3 linked regions of the Pelodiscus sinensis genome follow. The protein of the gene in region 2 purifies or fractionates together with the protein of the main gene of each other region. This does not show direct contact. Links are inferred from orthologs where the notes say so. Each region holds a gene or a part of one and is shown on either strand. Other genes may lie near its edges. The genes, in order: LAMTOR3, MAP2K1 and MAP3K1.

The links.
Region 1: the proteins of MAP2K1 (region 2) and LAMTOR3 purify together in Homo sapiens (affinity purification with western blotting; 3 studies listed by BioGRID, with this or other methods). This does not show direct contact. The link is inferred for Pelodiscus sinensis from reciprocal best matches to the Homo sapiens genes MAP2K1 and LAMTOR3.
Region 3: the proteins of MAP2K1 (region 2) and MAP3K1 purify together in Homo sapiens (affinity purification with western blotting; 3 studies listed by BioGRID and IntAct, with this or other methods). This does not show direct contact. The link is inferred for Pelodiscus sinensis from reciprocal best matches to the Homo sapiens genes MAP2K1 and MAP3K1.

What each region holds. Positions count from the first base shown.
Region 1 is NC_134715.1:23,356,142-23,363,895, reverse strand, and holds the start of LAMTOR3 (ragulator complex protein LAMTOR3), read left to right. Parts: upstream 1-4,674; 5' UTR 4,675-4,948; intron 4,949-6,644; 5' UTR 6,645-6,687; coding exon 6,688-6,696; intron 6,697-7,754. UniProt on the Homo sapiens protein: As part of the Ragulator complex it is involved in amino acid sensing and activation of mTORC1, a signaling complex promoting cell growth in response to growth factors, energy levels, and amino acids.
Region 2 is NC_134724.1:4,697,218-4,704,582, forward strand, and holds the start of MAP2K1 (dual specificity mitogen-activated protein kinase kinase 1), read right to left. Parts: upstream 3,029-7,365; 5' UTR 2,450-3,028; coding exon 2,370-2,449; intron 1-2,369. UniProt on the Homo sapiens protein: Dual specificity protein kinase which acts as an essential component of the MAP kinase signal transduction pathway.
Region 3 is NC_134716.1:95,999,319-96,006,826, forward strand, and holds the start of MAP3K1 (mitogen-activated protein kinase kinase kinase 1), read right to left. Parts: upstream 3,089-7,508; 5' UTR 2,661-3,088; coding exon 2,227-2,660; intron 2,038-2,226; exon of another isoform or gene 2,023-2,037; coding exon of another isoform or gene 2,015-2,022; intron 1,894-2,014; exon of another isoform or gene 1,555-1,893; coding exon of another isoform or gene 1,421-1,554; intron 1-1,420. UniProt on the Homo sapiens protein: Component of a protein kinase signal transduction cascade. Activates the ERK and JNK kinase pathways by phosphorylation of MAP2K1 and MAP2K4. May phosphorylate the MAPK8/JNK1 kinase.

The sequences.
Region 1 (7,754 bases), on a different chromosome or scaffold from region 2:
CTATTAAAGATAAGAATTTTTTTCAATGTGTTTAAATAATTTCCCTTTTAAGCATGTTGAACAGAAACATAACATATTCCTTATATTAAGGGTTATGTGATGTGTGTTTTTAAGGCTTCTTTGCATATATAATTTTCCTGGCAAGTACATGATTCCTTTTCACTAAATACCAAGGTTTGCTGGTCTTGGGACCACTAGACTTGTGAATACTGTGTGTGCATGTCTATAGGTGTATATATTTCTTTTCCAGCTAATACCTCAAACTTTGTGATAGTTTAATATTGTACCACTGTAAATTTGCACAGAACAGGGCTTCCATTAGGCATTACAACTATCCATCCAAATTTGAGGGTTCTGGTGTAACTAATCTTTAAATACTTTTTCCCCCAATATGTGGGTAAACATTCTCATTAGAGTCCGTTTTTAAAAGAAAATGATAGCCTTTTGCGCTTCCCAGAAATCTGAAATCTCACAAAGTAAAAGCATTTCTCAACTTAAACTGGGGAAGGTAGTTAGAAATGGCTTACATTTCAAATGACGTTTCTGAACTTGCTGCTGGCATTGGCTGTATGGTCAGTTGTGAAACTGACATTTGGAGAATGTAAAATCATGGAAAGCTTTAAAAATCTCAAGGAATTTAAATGTTTGTTCTTTAGACTTTTAAAAAGCAGTGCAATATGGGAAATGTGATTAGGCTTTGCAAATCATGTTCAATACACCTAATAATGTAATGGAAGCCTTGCAAAGGAAATCTGGTGAGATGAAGGTGGTATCTTAACAAAATTCTTATTTTGTTTTGTCTAACTCTATGGCATTTCCAAGATGTAAAGGTTAAGTTTAAAGAGACTTGCCTTATTTATAATATCTAATGTAATATTAGACATATCAAAATAAAATTATTTTCAGTGTGTAAATGTGCAAACATCTTATTATTTACATGTTAAAGAAAACTTTAACTATTCATTCTAGTTTTAAATTCAGAGGCTTGTGTTTTATTTATGCTCAGCTCATGTAGATACTGAACTAAGAATAGGCACATATTTGATCTTATAAGATAAATTATTTCTTTTTAAGACAAAGTTATCTAGCTACTAAAATATTTCATCTTAAATTCTTATGTATTTGGAAAATATTGCTGGTTTGTTTTATAAATTAAGACTTTTCTGCACAGCCATTAATTACCATAAGGAAAACTGCCTACTTTCAATAAACGTGTTTTCCTTTCCCCTGAAAAAAACAACTTTCAGTCATAAAGTGTATAGTATCATGAGCTTTTGTGGTCACAACCCACTTCTTCGGATGTCTGAAGAAGTGGGTTGTGTGCACAGAAGCTCATGATACTATATATATAATTTTTTAGTCTCCAAGGGTATGTCTACACTAGTTTTTTTTTCTAAAAAACTTCAATTACATCCACACTGCAATCGCGTTCTTTTGGGAAAAAAATCGAAAGAACTGAGAGGTTTTTCCGACATTGGTTAACCTCTTTCTACAAGGAAGAAACCTTTTTTCGAAAGAGCTCTTTCGGAAAAAAGCGTGTGGGGACAGGAAAGAGGGAGTTCTTTTGATTTTAATAGGGTCCATATTTTACCCCTAATCCTGCTCATTAGTTATGCATTTGTTACACAGGGACCTGGGTCGTCAGCATCTGGGACCTTAGTGTCTAAAGCCATGTGCCTCTACAGCTTGAGCTAAAACCCAACTCTCTCTCAGCTAAGGCTGTAGAGCAGCCTTCATTCTCATTTGTCCGTTGTTCTCAGTGCTTCTGGGTTACATGTATGTCTGAGTTTAACGTTAAAAATGGCATATGATTTATTATGGTTCTACATGTATCCTTTCTTTATAAGTAACAATGTTCCTCTTCAAATTAGAAAAATAAATAAGTAGCACAAGCACATATGTACCCCTCATCCCTTACAATTTTATATTAGATCCCAACCTGGATTTAATATACTGTATGTCTACAGTTTATATAATTAAGACACATAAGCTACTTTATTTAAAAATGAGTGAACAGCAGTGATAATGAAAATGAGCTACTCAGAAAAGTGGTGTACAAATAGAGTTCGCTATTTTGGGGAGATTTTTTTTAAAAAAAAAAATCTTCCTGGGAACGATCATGTAAACAGCAAAAGTCTGAACTTATCAGAAATGACAGGCTCAAACAAACTCCATTTGGATATTCTGTTCTTGAGTACTAAAAGAAGAAAATGACTTAAATCTTGCTGAGAAATTCATAAACTGATAGTAAACTTCCACTCTTGTCCTGATAATCAGATAAAAATTAAGTAAACTGCATCATGCATTAGGTTTCGGTAGGTCCTTCATTCTGTGATTTTTTGCACCATTACAAAAGTTACAGGGAAAAAGGATGCACTCTGAAAAATATCACCATCTTCCTCCCCAAGATTCATCTGATGAAGTGGGTTTTATTCAGGAAAGTTCATGAGCCTATGTATTTTTGAGTGGTCCCCAACCTTTTGGGGCTGCCAGGCACCTGGGGGTGGGGCCATTCACATACCGGGCACCCAAGCCGCCCAAACGCTGCACTACCGGGGCCGGCGCTGCTCCTGTGCCATGTGCCCAGGGGCAGACATGCCCAGGAGTCGGCAGCACCCATGCGCCGCGCACCTGGGGCCGGCACCACTCCTGTGCCGCGTGCCCAGGGGCAGGGACGCCCATACACTGTGTGCCCGGGGCCAGCACAGCCTATGCACTGTGCGTCTGGGGGCGGAGCCGCCCATGTGCTTCGCGCCCGGGGCTGGCACTGCCCTTTTGCCATGTGTCCGGGGGCGGGGCCAGCCCCAATCACTTATTGGGCACACTGTGCTGGGGAGCACTGCGTTGGAAACCACTGCTCTAAGCCCTGGTCTACACTAAGGAGTTACTTTGAAATAACTCCCCATATTTCAAAATAATAAGCGGAGCGTCCACATTACCAAGCCTATTATTTCAAAATAACAAGCTGGGTATTTTGAAATCTGTACTCCTACTTTCCATACGGAGAATACTTATTTTGAAATATTTCAAAATAACTAACTACTCCCCAGAGTAATTTGAAGTAAGTATTTCCCAGTACTTCCTAGGGCTCTAAGACGAGGTAGCGTATCTACAACAATGGAGCCTGCCTCGGATTAATTTTGAGGCTCCTGTGTGGTCGGGGACATGCTATTTTGATTGTTATTTTTGGAGTTACTTTTAATTATTTTGAAATTTCCTACTGTGGACATTAGGGATGTTAAGTTGTGATTAATTAGCTAAATGAGTAGTCAATGGAATTTCCAATGCCTACTCCATTAGTCAATAATGAGGGGGGCGCTTGCTACCCCTGCTGCAATTCTGCATTTTAAATGCAGTGAGCTCTTACTATATTTAAAATGCAGAGCCGTAGCAGTCCCAGGGCTGGCATGAGCCAAGACTGCTTAGTCCTGGCTCGTGCTGGTAGGGTTGCCAGGTGTCTGGTATTCACCTGGACAGTCTTGTATTTTCTCCTCCTGCCTGGTAAAAAAAAAAATTCAGACTATTAGACACCTGAGATGTCTAGTATTCTCTGAATTTTTCCCTGGCCAGGAGGCAAAAATGCTGGGCACATGGCAATCTTACAAACACTCAGTGCCTGGCCTCCCACTCCCTCGCATCCCCCCAGCTCCCAACACCCCTAGCCCCTCTGACTTCAGCCCCCATGCTTACCTGGTTCCCCAAGGCTGCTGGCACAAAATAGCTACTGGCCAAAAGACCTAAGGGAAGCAATCTTCCCCTTGGGTCTTAGTGCTCAACCACTTCCCTGTTCCTATCCATGCACTCACCCTTAAAGGGGACATGCTGTTTTTGGGCTTAAGTCCTTGGAGTCTTTTTTTGGGGGGGTTGGGGGAGCCAGCAGCTTTGGTTTCCCCTCACTTTCCCCTCTCTTCTCCCCCCCCACAGAATTTTTTCCTGGTGGGTTTTTTGGGGGGGGGGAGGAGGGTTGGTATTTTTGTTTCAATCATCTTGCAACCCTATGTGCTGGCCCCGGAAGCTACCCCTGGTGTGGCTCTGCAAGTTCTTACTACAAAGGCAGAGCCCGTAGCAGGGGTAGCTTCGGTGTGAGCCAGAACTAAGCACACTCTTCCCTACCCTTATGCAGCACCGAGACTCAGCTTTTAGGCATGTTCCTCACAGCACCAAGGGAAGAAGCAGAGTCATCTTGATTACCCACAAACACAGGTCATGTAATCTTTGTCACTGGAGATATTTAAGGGTGGGTTGAATACACATCTATCAGAGCCTGGCTAGACTAGGGTTTCCCAACCTGTGGTCGGGACCCAAATATGGGTCACCAAGTCTTCCTCACTTGTGGAAATGGATCCCCATCTGGAAAAGGTTGGGAACCGCTGGCCTAGAGACGATGCTGGGCCCTGAGGCAGGGGCCTGGACACTCTCCAGCCAGGTCCCTTCCAGTCCTAATGGTCTCTGGTTCCAGCCCTAGCAGACAGGCCCCCCGCACTGCCCCGCCCCCTTAGCAAGATCCCTGCAGCACCAGCACCGCCGGCTTTGCGATGCCTGACAACCAGGGCTGGGCGTAGCTACGGAGCATGCTCAACAGCGCGAGCTCCGCAACAGGGTGCGCGCGCGCCTCTGGACGCCTCCAGGGCCCGGCCGCGGCTCAACGAAGTGCAGTCACATGATCGCCTCCGCACCCTCTGCGTTGGGGCGGAAGCGGGCAAAGACGCCGCCGTGGTTGCGCGCTCCCACTCGCGTTGCCCTGTCACGGCTCTCACGGTCGGGCATGCTCCGTAGCTACACGGGAGACCGAGCTGACGCTACAGCCGGAAGTGACGCCGGCAGGGGTGGGTGGGGCGGGAGGTCTGTGATTGTTTCGTGCGTGGGGCATCACGTGATCGAGGGCTAAAGGAGAAGCGGCCGCTCGCTGCCTGGGCTGTTGTTGCGGGGGATCCCGGAAGCGACCAGGGTAAGGGAGCAGGGGGGCTGTAGCTAGTGTTATTGTAGGGCCTACTGTATTGATTCCTCCCTCTATGCGGTGCGGGGAGTCGAGCTATAGGGGCCCGGTCGGGCCCGCCTCCCCCCAGCGCCGCCACAGCCCACGGCGCGGCCCCTTTCTCGCTAGCCCCCCCCTCGCCGTGCGGGAACGCCCGGGCTTGAGCGTCTCCCGGCCCCCCGTAGGGTCAGGTAACCCTGGCCCAGCCTGACCGGTGTCTGTCCCGTCTGTGCTAGAAACCTGCAGGGAGGGGACCTTCCAGCCTGCTCTGGAAACCTGGCCCGGGTCTCCGCTGCCCCGTAGCCAGGCTGCCTTCGGCCCGTTACTGCTTCTGCTGCTCTTAGAGGATACAGACAACGATTGATCTCAGTCCCTCTAGCAACCCTTTTCTACCAGCCCCCACCCTCTTTTTCTGTCAACAGCCCCAAGCTCCTTGTGTGTTTTTTTTTTTTTAAATCTTTCCTCATAGAACAGATTTTCCTCACCTGTCCCTCCTTTTTTCCTCATGTAAGATTGTCAGTGCTTTTGCGGAAATACTATGCTGCTCCCGTTCAGGCAAAAGTCTTTTTCCAAACAACTTTTGCGCAAAAGGGCCAGTGTAGACAGCAGAGATTTATTTTCCGCAAAAAAGCCCCGATCGTGAAAATGGCGATCGGGGCTTTTTTGAGGAAAAGCATGTCTAGATTGGCAAGACGCTTTTCCGCGAAAGCACTTTTTGCGGAAAAGCGCCCGTGGCCAATCTAGATACGCTTCTCCGAAAATGCTTTTAACAGAAAATTTTTCCGTTAAAAGCGTTTCCGGAAAATCATGCCAGTGTAGACGTAGCCAGAGAGAATATCAAGAAATAATGTATACTTACCTTAACCTCACACTCATTTCCCCCCCCCCCTTTTTTTTTTAGCGCCCAATCCCTGAAGCTAGATTTGCACTACAAACCTACATTGGCATAAAAATGTAGCTCAGGGGTATGAAAAATCCACATCCCTATGCCATGCAGTTGTCCTCTTAGCATATGCACATCATGCTTCAGGTGGCATGTGACCAGGATTAATCACCAGATTTGGTCTATTGGTTGGCACATTCACTAACCTGGCTTGGTTCAAATACTGAAGGGGATTCTGATCCTTAACCCCCATCCCACGTGATGCAGTTATAACAACCTAACTCTTGGTGCTGTCTGATAGTGCTGTCTGAGAGCTTCTCCTGTGAACATAGCTACTGCTTTTTATGGAAGTGGATTAACTTTGTGGACTGGAGAAGCTCTCCTGTCAGCATAGTAGGACCTTAACCTAAAATACTACATCTGGACAGTTGTGCCATTGTAGCTTTTTAAATGTAGACTTGCCCTGAGACTCTATCTTATTTATGCAGCTTTTGATCCATGATTGCCCCTGGGACTACTTTTGAGGAAGGCCCTCTGGAGAAGGGCTTGTGTGCATCTTGTAAGACATTTTCTTTTAAGAGCAGTTCAATGCCCAGAACTCGCTCTCTTGGGCAGGTGCCTTGGGCATTATATTCTTCACGTTGGCAGAGGAAGGAAAGCTAGGGAATGCTAGAAATTAATAGGGATGTTGCTCCCTCCTTAATTTTATGTGAGACTAAACAAAAAAAGAGAAAGAGAGCAGATAAAAGCTTATGTGCATGACTATTGTTGGCTCTTATTTTTCAGGAACTTTGACAGTACATCTGATTTATTTAAAAAGTTTCAAAACATGGCCGATGTAAGTATTTTGCAAATATGCTACCTGCCCTAAAAAGCTTACTTTACAGACCCATCCTATATGCTGATCCATATGGGCGTGCCTTTATGAAGCCTCACTCAGTGCAGTGGAACTGACTTATGGCAGTAAAGCTATGCGTGAGTTATGGGGTTGCCAGATGGTTTAACCAAAAATACTGACGACCATCCCCCTCCCCCCCCCCCCCCCCAAAAAAAAACAGAGGAAAAAATTCTGTTGGTGGGGAAAAAAGGGGGGCGGCAGGGGAGACCAAAGTTGTTGAGCAAAAAAAGGGGGGGGGCCCTGAGAGTTAAGCGCAAAAAAACAAAAAAACCCTGCATGGTCCCTTTAAGAACAGGGGCTGGGCTCTGCCTCTCTTAACAGGCTGCAGGTATAGCAGCAGAGTGAGGGCCACAGCAACAGCAGCTTTTGCTGAGTATGCTCAGTTGCATAACACATGCTCAGTACGCCCTAGGTATGACTTTCTGAGAGGCAGCTGTTTGCGACGCTACTTCGGCCATCTTCTCTGCCTTTTCTCCCTGCTTTGGACCAGACAGCTTCCCTGCAGAATGAGGTATTCGGTGGGGGAAGCAGGCAGGCTGGGCCTGGTTGCTTAGGGTTGCCAGGTGTCCCTTATTTTCGCCCCCTGGCCGGGAAAAAAATCAGAAAATACCTGACATTTTAGGTGTCTGGTATCTTCTGAATTTTTTTACCAGACAGGAGGCGAAAATACCTGATTGTCTGGGTCAATACTGGACACCTAGAAACCCTAATGAGCTAAAGTATTTGTAGGACTAAGTCCTTAGACATCTATAAACACTTTGAAAGGAAAATAGGCCTTCACTGTCTGAGAATGACGTTTCAAAAGCTTCAGGGGGTAGCCTACTTAGTCTGTACAGGATAAACTTAAACAACAAATAATTTGTTAGTCTTTAAAGTGCTACCAGAAAATGTAGATGGTATCATGAGATTTCTTGGGCACAATCCACTTCTTCAGATGACCAGAGTGTTGGATGTCCAGAACTAAATGACATGATTATGCAAAAGGAGGGAGAATCTGC
Region 2 (7,365 bases):
ACATAACACCTGTCTGTAGAATTCCAAAAATTTTACATATTATATGCACACAACACAACTGAAATCCAGGCAGCTTTGCAGCACAAAGCATTAACGAATCAGGACACGGCAGTACTTGGAAAAGAATTAGGGGAAAAGGCAAAAAGTAGTATAATCTGGTCTCAAAAGGCACAGAAATGGAGCAAGATTTGGGATGCATTCCCAGCTCTGCCTCATGCATCTTAAGTCATACAGGAAGTGTCACAATAAGAGTTGGCATTTGTTGGGAGGATGAGTGTTTTTGATTGATGTTGAATTCTTGCTATGTAAGGGCAGGTTGTTGATTTGCTGTTTGTATTATTTATGTCATCAAAAGCACCTAGCATACATTTTAACCTCCCGAGGGTTAAATCTGAGATGTAATATATAACAAAGATTCAAGGGGGAGGAAGGCACATACAAATGATTACTGCAGGAAAACTGAAAAATGTTGTAAGATTCAGGCTTTTTGTACAAATAACATTTTCTGTATAACCTCAGGTTCATATATCTTTGTTTTTGGTGTAAATAGCTTGCATTCAAATTTGGAGTCCACTCACTTCTCTTGTTGCAATGTTGTATGGAATTCTGGGACTAAAATGAGTAACCTTGAAAGAAAGAACATTGGGGAGATGCAATGGATACCTGCTTTTTAATTTTAGGTGTCAAAATAAATAAATTTGGCCTGTGTCTCAGCTTCTCTGTAAAATGGGGATAACCGTATCCCACACTCACAGATATTTAATGTTAAATCAGATTATGTTTGTAACAGCCATGAAGATCCCTGTACAGGAAAATTTAGATATGTATCTTATTAATCTTTACAACACAATCCAGGGCAGAACCCAGGTGACACTTAGGCCAAACTTCTCAGAAGAGTTCAGCACCTGCTGTCCAAGACAGATTTTCAGAAGAAATCAGCTCCCATTAAGGCACCAGGGTGGTTGGCTAGATTTGTAATGAAGATCAGCACAATGGACACTGAGTGCTTCTGAAAATCTGGTTATAAATATCACAGTGGGAGCTACTAGCTCCTACATAAGTTTGAAAATTAGAGTATTAAATAGGTAACAATGGCAACCAAGCTCATTTGAAAACCCGTCACCAATTGCGGGGCATCGGCCCCGCATGATTAACAGAACTGATGGAACCTCCATTTCAGATGTCCTCTGAAAAACCCACACACAAACTTAATTTAATTTCCCTAACAAAGCAGAAGGGTCACACTGACCTTTCTGGGATAGCAACCTGTATTCCAGGGATTGTAGGTATTTCAACACCTCTGTTTCTCTCTCTCATAACCTCAGGCTAAGAATGAAATGATGCGTGCCAACCTGTTGCCTTTAGCAAACTCAAACTCTTTTGTAATTCTTCATTCTTTTACACTACAGATAATTTAAATACAGACTTCCCAAGCAAGCATGTTTTGTTACCCATAAATTCACAGGTAACCCATAATTTTAAGGACTGCAATCTTTGTTATTGTTGTTAAAAAAAAAGGATCAAATCAGCTAGTCGGTACTTCCCTCTTGATTTTTTTGCAATGTTTTCATTATACCCAAAAAGTGTAGCATCTTGTTTCCACATGAGTATTATTTGTAATCAAATGTGACAGCTGAGGTGACTGAAAGAAAAGATTTTCTAAAATGGACTGCAGTCTGTTATAGAATAAAAAGGAGGAATGACTTTCTGATTTCCAGAGCAAATTACTCTTTTTTACATATATAAAATATTCCTATTGGAAAAAAGTACTTGACATTTGCTAAGTACTTATCATATAGTACATGCACGTGTAAAAGATACCATTAATATGGAAATAACATTTCCATCTAAAATGTTTGTATCTACCAGAATTAAAAACTGTGACTGAAGTTATAAAATTATTTTTCACCTTGTTTACTTTATGCATCTGACAGAATTTTGTGTCGCCAAATTCACTGTCCTTTCTGAAAAGACACAAATATTAACAAGGGGGCAAAAAAAACCCACCCTGGATTATTTTGATTTTTTTTAATTAAGCCTTGATAATGAAAGGCTGCTCTAACAGAACCTTTTGTAACAGTGGCCTTTAAAAAAAAGATCCTGTTGACAGTACCCTGTAACACCTCCTGTGTTTTTTATTTTTTAGACACAGAGATTGAGGCGCTCGTGTTAAGCACCATCGTCTCGCTTTGCTTTGCTGGAGTCCTGGAGAATGTGCAGAAATGTTTCCCGTTATCCCCAGACTAAGAGATTTAGGAGCACGGTCCCCCAGAGACACAGCAGGGGAGCGAATCTTGGGTTGTATCTGCCCCACCCCTCTCTCCTCCAAGGCAGGAGTAACACCCAAGCCCCAGGGAGGCTGTACTCACTCTGCAGTGCTGGTCCCATTGATGGTGGAGCTATCTGGAGCCGGGTTCAGCTGAATTGGCATCGGCTTCTTTTTAGGCATTTTGCAGTAAGAAGAATGGCTCGTCAGTTCCCGAAAATGCCCAGCTCCGGGGGCTCCCTCCCGCCGGGCAGAGTGCGGGGCTCCTCCGGCAGTTCCCGCCGCACTAGGCGATCTTCCCTGCTAGCGCTTCTGGGCTCCTGCGCCGGTCAGCCGGCGGCCGCTCCCTGGCCGGCAGCCGCGTTCCGGGCGCTCAGCGCGGCTCCCGGGGCCGGCAGCCGCTCCCCGCCTGAGCAGTCCGAAGTTCCCCGAGCGGCGCCGGGAGAGCGGACCCTGCCCGAGCTCAAACCGCGTCCCTGCTCGCTACTGTGCATGTGCAAAGCCTCGGCCCGCCCCAGTGCGCAAGTGTGGAGCCGCTGCTCATGGGCACTGGGGAGGGCCGCCTTTTGCAAGCACCCGCCTGCTCCTCTGCCCGGAGTTTCGCTTCGGGTGCGCGGGGGAGGTGTGCGCCCGGGGCGAGCCGGGGACTCGCTCCTTGGGGAGCCGGGGCTGGGTTCTGAGTCAAACGCGGGCCTGCTTCGGATTCTCATCTTCCCTGCGGCCACGCCACGAGAGCTCGGGGCTTCTCTCCCTCCCTTCTCACCACCTCCCATCCCCCCCTTCCTCGTGTACACGCACCGGAGTCACTCCGCGTTCGGTTCACACGCGCGCTCCGGTTGAGAACTGGGCCCCGAAAGGGGATCGTCAGACACAAGCCAGGAGCAAAACGCGCAGCCCCGGCTCGAAAAGAGACGGAGGGGATCGTCAGGTGACACAGAGGGGGGTGAGAGCAGGACAGGATTCCCGTCGGAAGTCACCAGAATGGAGCAAAACAATGGGGAGGTTAAAAACAACGAATAGTCTAGTAGCACCTTAAAGATTAACAAAACAGGTAGATGGTATCACCAGCTTTCGTGGGTACAACCCACTTCTTCAGATGCTAGGAGTGTAGAACTCATGGGGAGGTTGTGACTATGAGCATTGGAGGACAGTCTAGAGCTGTGCATGGGATGGGGTCTACTCTGTGAAAGAGCAATGGGATGCATATTTCAAAAAGCAGAGCATTTTAGACTTTTCCTCATCATGACCTACTCTGTTTGTAACTAGAAAGGCAACAGGAAACTCACAGCTCTGCTGTTCTTCTCCCCTGCCTTCCAATCATTTCTTGGCCAGTTTGGGAGGGGAGGGGTTAAAATGTTCCAAACCGTTAGAATATGTAAGGGTGAATCTTAGGCTCTGTGTCACTAGAACATCATTAGGTTACTTGCACCACAACTAGAGGACAGTCGTTTAATCATTTGTGCGCTTTACAGGATCATAGGCAGAAATTTCTGTGGGGGGTGCTTTCTTGTAAATGTGGTCTGCAAGGGTGTGAATGCACCCCCCTCTGGTCCCCCAAGTAAGCAGGGAAATCAGCCCCCCTTCTCCCAGCAGACCAGAGCATGGGCAAGGGAGGCTCAGGCAGCACTCTCCTGGCCAGCCTGAGCATACTTACTTGGGGGACTCAAGGGGGTGCTTTCCTATCCCCTTGCGTACAGGCCTGCTTTGTATTTAAAAGGGGATTACAAAAGGAACTGTCAACATCTAGTAAATTAATCTGCTATGAGTATGTAACCTTTTGTTTATAATTTTTCAGAAGTTCTGTGAAATGGAATTATGAGGTCTGTAGCAATTAAATTAGCAAATGTCTACCATAAATACTTACTCTGCATATCAGCCTACAGTGTTAATGTTACATGAAGAACAACTTAATTTAATCCCCATATAAAATCATTACTCTGCATACTTTATATATTGAAAGTATTGTATTTATAATTAAAACATTAGCCTGAATTTGCGTATTAATGGTTTCTATTTATCCCCATAAATACTTGAAATAAAGATCAAACCGTAATAATACCATTAGAAAATAACTCATTATATATATTAAAGTGAGAATGAAGATCAGGTGCAAAAATTGCTGTTATTAACCCATTGCTTTAACTTTATCAAATAAATACTCAATACGAATTCATATTAAATGAAAGTTACAATCTGTATTTATGTACAAGTGATGTTGAATTGTTTTATATGTATCTCTAAAAAACTCTTCATTTTAAATATCAGGACATATTTCAAATTAATGAACAGTTGCAATGCACAGAAGTTTTAATCATCACGTGTTCTTGAAATTCTAGTGGGGTATAACCATTTATTCAATAATGTTCTGTGGTATGTTGCCAGAAAAACAAGAATAGACTGAGAGAGTGTAAGTTATAGAAAAAAATCATTCAAAGCCAGATATATAAGGAATCTCACCTCATTGCTTCCTTTAATAGCTTTAAAACTTAAATCAGTAGTTTTCAAAATGTGGGTTGAGACCCCCAAATGGGTTTGCACCACTGGGGTTGTAGCAATACCTAGTATATACAAGATGCTATTTTGCTCCGTACCGTGTGATGTCACATAGACCATTCATGCAAGGTCATGAATTCATGATTAAATGTTTTTCTATGCGGACAGAGGTATTCTTTTATTGACATATCTGTGCCTATACTGGCTGTTAGGTCAGCACTTCTACAACACTTGTAGCACTTGTGGGGGCGGGATTCCACATCCTTGACTAACATAACCATGGCAATTTACCTATTAAATGTAGACCAGGACTCTAATTCCGAACTCCTAATTCCTGTTTCCCCTTTGTTCCGAAGCAGGGAGGTAATCTGTACCAGCCCTTTGGCTAGTGAAGACTTCTACTCCTCCCACTGTGGTAGCTCCTCCCAGGGCAGTGACCATCTCTCAGCTCCTCACCACTCACTCTTTGCCCACGTGAGCCAAAAGAGGAGAGGCCGGACAGGGGCGCTCTAGGAAATGTTCACATGGTACCAACAGCTTAATGTGGCAGAGAGGAGGCTGGACCAAATTTCAGTGAGTCGTGTTGCAACCTGGCAGGTGAGTTCACAGGCAGGTTTGGCCAGGCAAATCCTCAAGAGAACACAGAAGGGCTCACAGTTGAGCCCCTGGATTCAATGCCCAAATCTACTTTAATAAGTTATAAGGTGAGAAGTCAAAGAATGTATGCAGTATATATTTCAATAACAGTTTAATTTTGAAATACTGGCAGTCTTGGGACAATTAAATCTTTCCAGTAGCACATTTTCTCCTAAGACTGATCACTGGCTAAACTGTAGGCTTTGAAAATATTTTTTTTTAAATAAACGAGGTAAAGCCTTATGGCTAACACATCTGAAGAAGGGGGCTGTGCCCAGGAAAGCTCATGATACCATGTACATGTTTTGTTAGTCTTTAACGTGCTACCAGACTATTTGTTGTTTTTTAAGTTTTTCCTGTTACAGACTAACTCAGCTACCCCTCTGTGGGATCCAGTTAACACATCTGTAGGGCTTTGTGACAACATTTAAATGGGTGCTATCTGTAAGTATGCTTACGATATCAGTCTCCAAAGCATTCTTTTAGTACAGATAATACATAGCTTGAGTCTTAGCATGAAATCACCATGGCTGCTGAGTGTGTTCCCTTCCCTTACGTAAACACTTTGGTGATATTTATAACACATTTAATGTAAAAGCTAATAGCATTGTTCACATTCCACCACTCCAGATGTCCTCATATTAACAGAAACAAAATGTTACACAAAATAAATATGTAGCTTTTAATTATAGCACAAATGCAATTTTAGGAGATAATTCAAGCAATGATTTGCCAATCTACAAGGTATTAGTTATCAAGAAAATTATTCTGCTTTACAATTGATAGCTACATGTCATCTTTTCCTGTATTGTATTTGCTTTACTATTGGAATAAAAGACCTCATTAAACATCAACAAAGAAGCAGAAAAACCATTACAAATGTGTAAAGGAATTTTTATTTTTAAATTTGGGATATCTGAAAACTTAAAATTTTGAAAATAATCCGTTTACAAACAGTTCAAGTTGACAGTGTCACTCTAAGCAACTATGCATCTTTGCTCTGACAACCCTTTATGGAGATTTTTCTGTATGAGGCAAGCTACTGAATATGCCCTTTTGTGATAGATCACTGTTTGCATGTCATTTGAGCTATACAATGGATGCGTGGGCAGGAGGATGTTCACTCTTAACATTTCTCAGCCTAATGTGCCTTTTAGGCTATCTACACTAGGGAAAAATGTGTATTTTGACACTCTACTTAGCTAACACATACTAACTAATATTTTAGAAACTTAGCCATGATATCTAGCTGGTGTAAATCAGCACACAACCATTGGAGCCAAGGAGTGCAGCTATGTCAATTTACATCAGTTGAGCATCTGGATCTGAGTGTAGACAAGCTAGTATTAGTGCCAACAAGTGTTATCTGGTCAAGATAAACCTAAGTAGGGAGTGTGGTGTTTCTCTCAACCAGCTACTGTTAAAATTACAACTTGTCTAGGCTACATTAGGATTTGACATGCTACCTACCATGTTAAAAATTTACTTTTTTTCTTAGTAAAGAAAAGGCTTCAGTGAGGTTGTTCCCTCTTTTACACACAGGGATGTAAAGGCACAAAAGGCAAAATAGCTTGCTCTAGCCAGCAACAGAATTCAACAGTCCTGAGTTGTAACTGGCCTTTGATCTAGATGCACTAGTCCTCAACACAAATGGGATATGCTTACCATCAATAACCCATGTGACAATTCTCTCCAGACTAGAAGTGGACTTAATCTGTCCCTGAGAAATTGATGTAGCCATTTCTCACTCTTGGTCTCCACTATGAGGTTAGGTCAAAGTAAGCCACATTAGGTCAATTGTATAATGAATGTCTACATCATCAAGCCCTTTCCACCAACCTTAAGTGGGTTTAAAATCAACTACTCTACTCCACCTTGATAAGACTAGCACTAAATTCAACCTTCCTGGGTTGAATTTGGGGTAGTAGAGATGCAGCACAGTTCGATTCAACGTTCTTGGTCTCTGGGAG
Region 3 (7,508 bases), on a different chromosome or scaffold from region 2:
GGTGCTTTAAATACAAACAAAAAAACGGTTTAAAAGAGTTTGAAACAGAAAACAGGAACTAACTTAAGGAATTTTTTTTAAATCCATGGAATTGGCAAGCAAGAATGGAGTCAATATTTTAGCTGTGATTGCCTGATGTGACAAATGTTGACCTTCCTGAACCCATAACAACTAGCAATAAGTCCCACTGAAAACTGTAAGCAACTTTTACTGTTTTAAAGGCATGTTTTGATGTTGTTTATGCTAGTTATTTTTCTCTTATGTGGTACAGAATTATTTAATTGCTACAATGGTAACACCTATATATGAGGTAACAATGAAGTAAAGTATATTTTAGTTTCATACCTTGTCAAAACTCTAGAGATAATCATACAAAATCAAATAAAAACAAGTCAACTGCCAACTTTTGTACATCATCTTTTCCTTGAAGTAACTTCATGAACATAGATTTCCTATTAATCTTTCTATAACTACACTGGTGCTTCATCTGCTGGTATCATACTACTGTCAAGTAACTGGTTTATATTTACAGCAATGTGAAAGTCCACAAATATTGCACAGAATACATCTAGATACCCAAACAATTGCTGATTTTAGATTGCCATATTAGTAAAGCATTCTCTAGAATGGAAATCTTTTTTTGAATGTCCTTCTACCACAAATGGGAAAGACAGATTTCTTTGTTGTGAGTTGAGTAGCCAACTAAAAGCTCTTTTTCTCTGTAAAATAACTTTAGAAGTAAACCTATCAACACTCAGTCTTCACCGCCAAGCGCTGCAATTCACTATTTACACATGAAGTCTCATATAAAAATCCTTATGAAACTACAGTAATTGTTAAATCTATATAAAGATTACAAGCTCTATCTCCACCATTACTCTCACCTATGCACATACTAAATGCTAGCAAGTGTACGTTAAAAGTATTAAGTACAACGTATTCAGAAGTACATGAGAAAGCATTTTAAAATATGCTCATGGTAGCTTCAATTCTGAATGCCTTTGCGTGTGTAAGATACATATTGAATGTATCCTAGTTATTGAACTTGTGCCCCGGATTGCATCACAATAACTATAAAATTGGAAAGCTCTATAAAATCTCAAGTATTATCAAATAAAATACAGAATAGGACTAACACTATAAAGATACCACGTCTCATCTTACACAATATGCAGTCTCCAGTATAATTACTGCAAACACATTATACTTTCTACACTTTTGCAGAGTAGATATTTCATGTTTGTAAACTGTCTTTTATTCAGCAAAACCAAAACAGTTCCACAACTTCAAGTGAAACAAGCCACAGAAGAAAGGATTCATTTTTATTAATGTTTAACTATACCGATGGGAAAGCAAAGGCAAATGTAAAATCTAAGTAGTTTAGAATAAGTACTATATAGATTATGAAAAGCAGACACACTTTTTTTGTGGGGAGGTGAGGTGAATCCGGGGGGAAGGATGCTTTAGCAGGAAAAAAAAAATCAAATGCACTCTGCTGCACTGCTTGGAAGAGTTAACGGGTTTAACTGCACTGAAACTGAATGGCTGACACATCCGGTCCTGGGTCCTCAACCACCAGGGCAAATTCAAACTTCAAAGCCTCTCGGAGCTCAGGCAGAAATAAATCACTCCCCTCACCCCCCAACAGCTGCGATTCCCATTTAACTAAGAGTCACGACTTCCAGAAAGCAGCACACACAAACGGGTTGGCAGGGCAAAGGTAACACAAATGAGAAGTTGATGCACAGGCTACACAGTCCTGGGAAATACAATCCTAGCTCTTTTATCCTGCAGCGCCTGCCGCATAAGTCAACGAGGCACTGAACACAACAAGCTACTGGCCAGTCCCCTACTCCCCCCCCTTCTCTTACAGATGACAGCTCCCCACAAACACGGGGGGCCTGTCGGGGGCGATCTCACACCAGCCACCCCCTCTGCCCCATAACACCGTCCCCCACGCATATCCCAGCGCCCCTGCAAGCAAATCCGGGCCCGAAAAGCACGTCCCCGCTACCTGCCCATGGGCGCAGCGCCAGGCTCCCGGGGCTGGGTCTCCACCGAGAGGGGGACCCGAAAGCTCGAGGAGGGGCAGGGGCCAGGCTCCGGGCGCGCACTATCCCACGCCGCCAGCAGCGCCGGGCCCCCCACCTCCAACACCTGCGCGGGCTGCCCCGTGTGAGGCGCCGGGGTCCTCACCGCCGCCCGCTCCAGCCCCGCGCCGCTCACCCGGCAGGGGGAGACGGCTCCATCCTTCTCTCGGCGGCGGGGTCGGCTCCCACGGGGCTCCCGTCCGGCAGCGGCTCGTGGGGCGCGGCGCAGCGGCCGGGGGAAGACGCGGGGCTGGAGGGGCCGGAGCCCCCGGCGAGGCAGCGCGGCGGCGGTTCGGGGGACTCCGGCGAGCCGGCGAGGAAGAGGGGCGCCTCGGGCAGCCGGTCCAGCTCCACGCTCCGCACTTTGCGCAGCTGCTTCCGTCTCCAGTCTGAGCGCTGCTCCCGGCAGCCGCCGCCGCCCGCCTCCCGCAGGAGCCCCCCGCCGCTGCCGGGCAAGCTGCCCGCGCCGCTGCCGCTCTGCAGGCTCCCGGAGGCGGCGGCGGCGGCGTCCGCGCTGGTGCCCGAGGATAATCCCGACGACGAGGTGCGAGTCCCCGCCGCCGCCGCCATTTTCTCTGGCGGGTCACATCGGGCTCCGGAGCAGGGAGGCGGGGGATGAGCCGCGCTCCGGCCGCTGCGGCAGCGGCGTGGGCTGCGCCAAAGGCGTACGAGGGGTGGGAACTGAGCGCAGGCGGGACGGGCGTTGAGAAGGTGAGGCTGGGAGCGGTCGCTCGACGCCGCCCGCGGGCAGGTGGTGGCAGGACCTGGCCGTACCTACGCTGGGCGGGCTGGCTCCTGCCTGGGGAAAGGGGCTGGGCCGGAGGAGCCAGCACCTGGCGGGGGGGCTGGATGGTGCAGGACCCGGCAGGCGACCCCGCCTCCTTCACTCCTCGGAGATCAAGGGGCCGGTTCCTGCCCGCCGGACTGGGGGGCTTATCCCGAGACTCTGACCGGTGTGTCCTTGCCCGGCTCCCCCAGAGCGCGGAAAGCTCCGTGCAGTTGGGGAGCTTCTCTCTCCGCGGCGGTAGCGAGGCCAGTGAGAGCCTCACCTACCTTGCCTGGCGCAGATGCCGGGGGCGATGGGACTCCAGCTGAGAAGCAAACATTTTCACCCCCGCGCCTGCACTGTACTGAGAAGATCTCCCTCCACTCGGCAAAACGTATCCCATAGCCGGAGAAAAGGGGAGAGGGTTGTATTAAGAATGTGGGGAATACAAGCTCCTCGTTTGGAGGTAACTCCCCTCCACCAGAGTTGTACTCGCATTACAATAGATAGTTTCCCATTCAAGTACACGCACCTCCTCACCACACTTGGAGATTAGCCCTATCCATTCTGATTTAATTAGCACTCCCAGCTCTGTACCTTCTTCCCTCCCCTTGTGTTGTTATTTTTTCTTTTCAGCATCTGAGGAAGTGAGTTCAAGCTCATGACAGCTTATGTTCTAATACCCTAAAAACATGGTAGCATGGTAGTCTTTGAAGTGCCCCTAGACTCCTTGTTGTTTTAGAATCATAGAATGAAAATAGCAAGCAAATGTTTTGAGAGAACACATTACTGTGTAGTAGTATAGCAAGTGAATGGTAGTGCACCAGTCCTGGAGGTACTGTAATACCAGATTGATGCATAGGGCTGGGCAAATCCAGCTCCCTACTCCAAAAATAATTCAGTCATAGCGCACCAGGGTAGTGTGTCCAAAAGGACAGGTTGAGGATACTACACTTGATTTTAGCCAAACTAGAACTGGAAGGGACCTCAAGAGATCATCAAGTCCAGTCCCCTGCCCTTCTGGCAGGACCATGTACCATCTAGATCACCCCTGAGAGATGTCTGTCTCACCTGCTCTTAAAAATCTTCAGGGATGGGAGATTCCACAACTTCCCTATGCAATTTATTCCAGTATTTAACCACCCTAACAGGAAATTTTTCCTAATGTCCAACCTAAACCTCACTTGCTGCTGTTTAAGACCATTGCTTCTAGTTCTATCCTCAGAAGCAAAACAGAATGATTCCCCCTCTCCCATGACGCCCTTTTAGATACATGAAAATATCATGTCCCCTGTCCGGCTTCTCTTTTCCAAACTAAAGAAGCCCAATTCTTTCAACTTTCCGTCATAGCTCATGTTCTCTAGACTGTTAATCATTTTTGTTGCTCTTCTCTGGACCTCCAATTTCTCCACATCTTTCTTGAAATGTGGTGACCAGAACTGGACACAATACTCCAACTGAGGCCTAATCAATGCAGAGTAGAGCAGAAGAATGACTTCTCGTGTCTTGTTCACAACACTCCTGTTAATGCATCCTAGAATCATGTTTGCTTTTTTTGCAACAGTATCACATTGTGGACTCATATTTAGCTTGTGGTCCACTATGACCCCTAGATGCCTTTCTGCCGTACTCCTTCAGACAGTCACTTCCCATTCTGTATGTGTGAAACTGATTGTTCGTTCCTGAGTAGAGTACTTTGCATTTGTCCTTATTAAACTTCATCCTATTTACCTCCAACCATTTCTCCAATTTATCCAGATCATTTTGAATTATGACCCTATCCTCCAAAGCAACCCCTCTCAACTTGGTATCATCTGCAAACTTAATAAGCATACTCTCTATGCCACCATCTAAATTGTTGATGAAGATATTGAGCAGAACTGGTCTCAGAACAGATCCCTGTGGAACCCCACTTGTGCCCTTCCTGCATGACTTAAAATCATTAATAACTAAACTCTGACAATGGGGTTCCAGACAGTTATGCAACCACCTTATAGTAATCCCGCTACCAAGACCATACTTGATAGTTAAAACAGGGACAGAGAGAAGATTTAGACACATGGAACAGACAAAATAGTCACAGAACATACAAACTTAGAGAAGAATTTTAAACCATCAATTTAAACTTATTAAGCAACAAGAGATAGTTAAAAGCAAGTCGTTCTAATAGCTAAGCATATATAGGAAATCAATTAAAAGAAACTGAAAATGAAGTAAGTATTGAAGGTATTAGATTAGATGAATGAGTTTTTGTACTTTGAAAGGAAACACTGAAACTAATGGACTTCTCAAAATTAGAAATATATTCTGTACCAGGGGAACATCAATATTTGTCTACTTGTTTAGGTTTAAATTATTTTGCATTTAATGAGTATCATTAAGCATGAATGTACAAAGCATGAAATATATTGAAGAAATAAGATTGCCATTGCGTCATATCCTGCAGGTATTCATTCTGCAGAAAACCTGTTTGTGTTGAAGAAAAGCACTGCAATCAAGGAACTCTCAAACTATTGCGCTCCAATGAGTTAATTTAATTTAAAATCTGCGGTACTATAGACTAATATGAAGTTAATCGTTTTCTATGTGCACATTTCCCCTAAATTGTAAGTGGTAACATCCAAGACTGATTATGAAACTGAAGTCTTTGGCCTAGATCCTCAAGTTGTTGTCTTGCAACAATTGAAAGAGTGTGGCTGTTATACACAGATAAAGTTCTATATGGGAATATGGTAAATTTTGGCAAGCTGAAGGCTCATCTTTTTCTCAATACCTAAAATAATATGAATTCAGCATAGTTTTCAACACAGTTAATCTCAAACACAGTTACACATAGAAACAACATGCAGTTAAGAATCTTCTATGCTTCTGAATACATAAAGTAGGCAATACTGTCTGCACAAAGTAAAGATGAGAGAGAAAATGAATTATATAACATAACAGCTTTTGGTCATGCCTATACAAGCAAAGTGTAACACCTCATGATAACTGGATCCTCTGACATGGTAGGTTTGGTTGTGAAAATATGCTCATAGACAGCTCATTCACATTCAGTCTACAAGTGCTTAGATGGGCTATAGCTGAAGGGAAAGTGAACATGTTCCATAGCCATCTCTCTTTTGTGTTTGCACCGCCACATGATAGAAAACTCAGACAATTGAGTGGTAACTCACCTGGAGACTGATAGTGCCCTCTTGACTCTGCTTTACCATTGCTCTTCTAACACTTCTCCTTTCTTTTAAAAACTCCCCCTCCTCCCTTTCTTACTTAAAGCTCTTAGGCTATGTCTACACAGCAGCATTATTTTGGAATAACAGACTATGGTGACATATGCACATCCCATCATAGGAGTGAAGATATTCAGGGGTGTGGACACCTCCTGATTGCCCACAGGGTCATTAGCTGTCTCTGTAGTCCATAAATACCCCCTTGTGGTCTATGAAAGTTGAGCTTAGTGTCCAAGGTCAATAGTGCTGTCCTTCTCTCAGGGCAGTACAGTCTACCAGTCAGAGTCTGTCGTCAGCCTTCTCTCTGGAGTAGTGTGGCCTAGTGGCCAGAGTCAGTAAGTAGCCTTTGTCGCAGGGTAGTATGGTCCAATGGCCAGAGTCAGTAAATAGCCCTTGTCTCAGGGCAGCACAGAGTCAGTAAGTAGTACTTGCTACAGAGCAGTAGGACTTAATGGCCATAGTCAGTAGGGTTGAAGCAAGCATCCCGGTAGGGGGTCCCAGGCCTACACTGCTCCATGGGGTCCCAACCCAGGCTCCTGTGAGCAGCAGAATGGTCTACCACTCCCTCAGTGGGGAATCCAGCCGAAACACGCCAAGTATACCTGGTTGTGAAAGGCTGCTCCTTTATCCTTTCTGGGTCACTTCTTACTGATTCTGGCAGGTCAACCTCCCATGTAGCGGCTGAGTCTCCCAGTTCCCCGGTAGCAGTTTCTCCCTGGGATTCCGAGGGGGGTGCGTAGCAGCCATCTCCCGGGACTCTGGTTCTCGCTGGCTTCTGCAACTTGGGAGCTCTGACCGGAGGTTCTTCTCCTTTGCTGTCCAGCCCAGACTGAGATGCTCTCTTGCTTTTTATGCTGCCCCAGCACTTGGAGTATGCCCAGTCTGGTTGAAGGGGTGAGGCTTCTTCCGCCCACAGGGTTTTCACTCCCTCTGCTCCAGTGTGAGGCATGCACACCCCATGACACTGACATTATTCTGAAATAACAGAGTCCGTGTCTACGGAGCAAGCAGTTATTTCGACATAATGTCAAAATAACTTTGAGCTGGAGGACTTCTTATTCCGACTCCTGTAACCCTCATTTTATGAGGAGTAAGGGAAGTTGGAGGAAGAGTGCTCTGTCTTAGACTTCTTTCTGTGTAGACAGCACCAAAAGCCAAAATAAGCTATTTTGATTTAAGCTACGCAATTGACGTAGCTCACGTTGCATAGCTTATTTCAGCTTCAGTCCTGCTGTGTAGACGTGCCATCACTGGCTGACAGACAAATAATTTCTCAGTTCAAAAAGATGGTAAGAACTGTATCTGTTGGAAATAATCCTATATTGGGGTTATTTTAGGTGTTAGAATGAAGGAATCCTTATCTAAGAAGGCTTTGCTCCTTTTGAACATGACTAATAAAGCCCACTAACAATTTCCAAGAGAGAC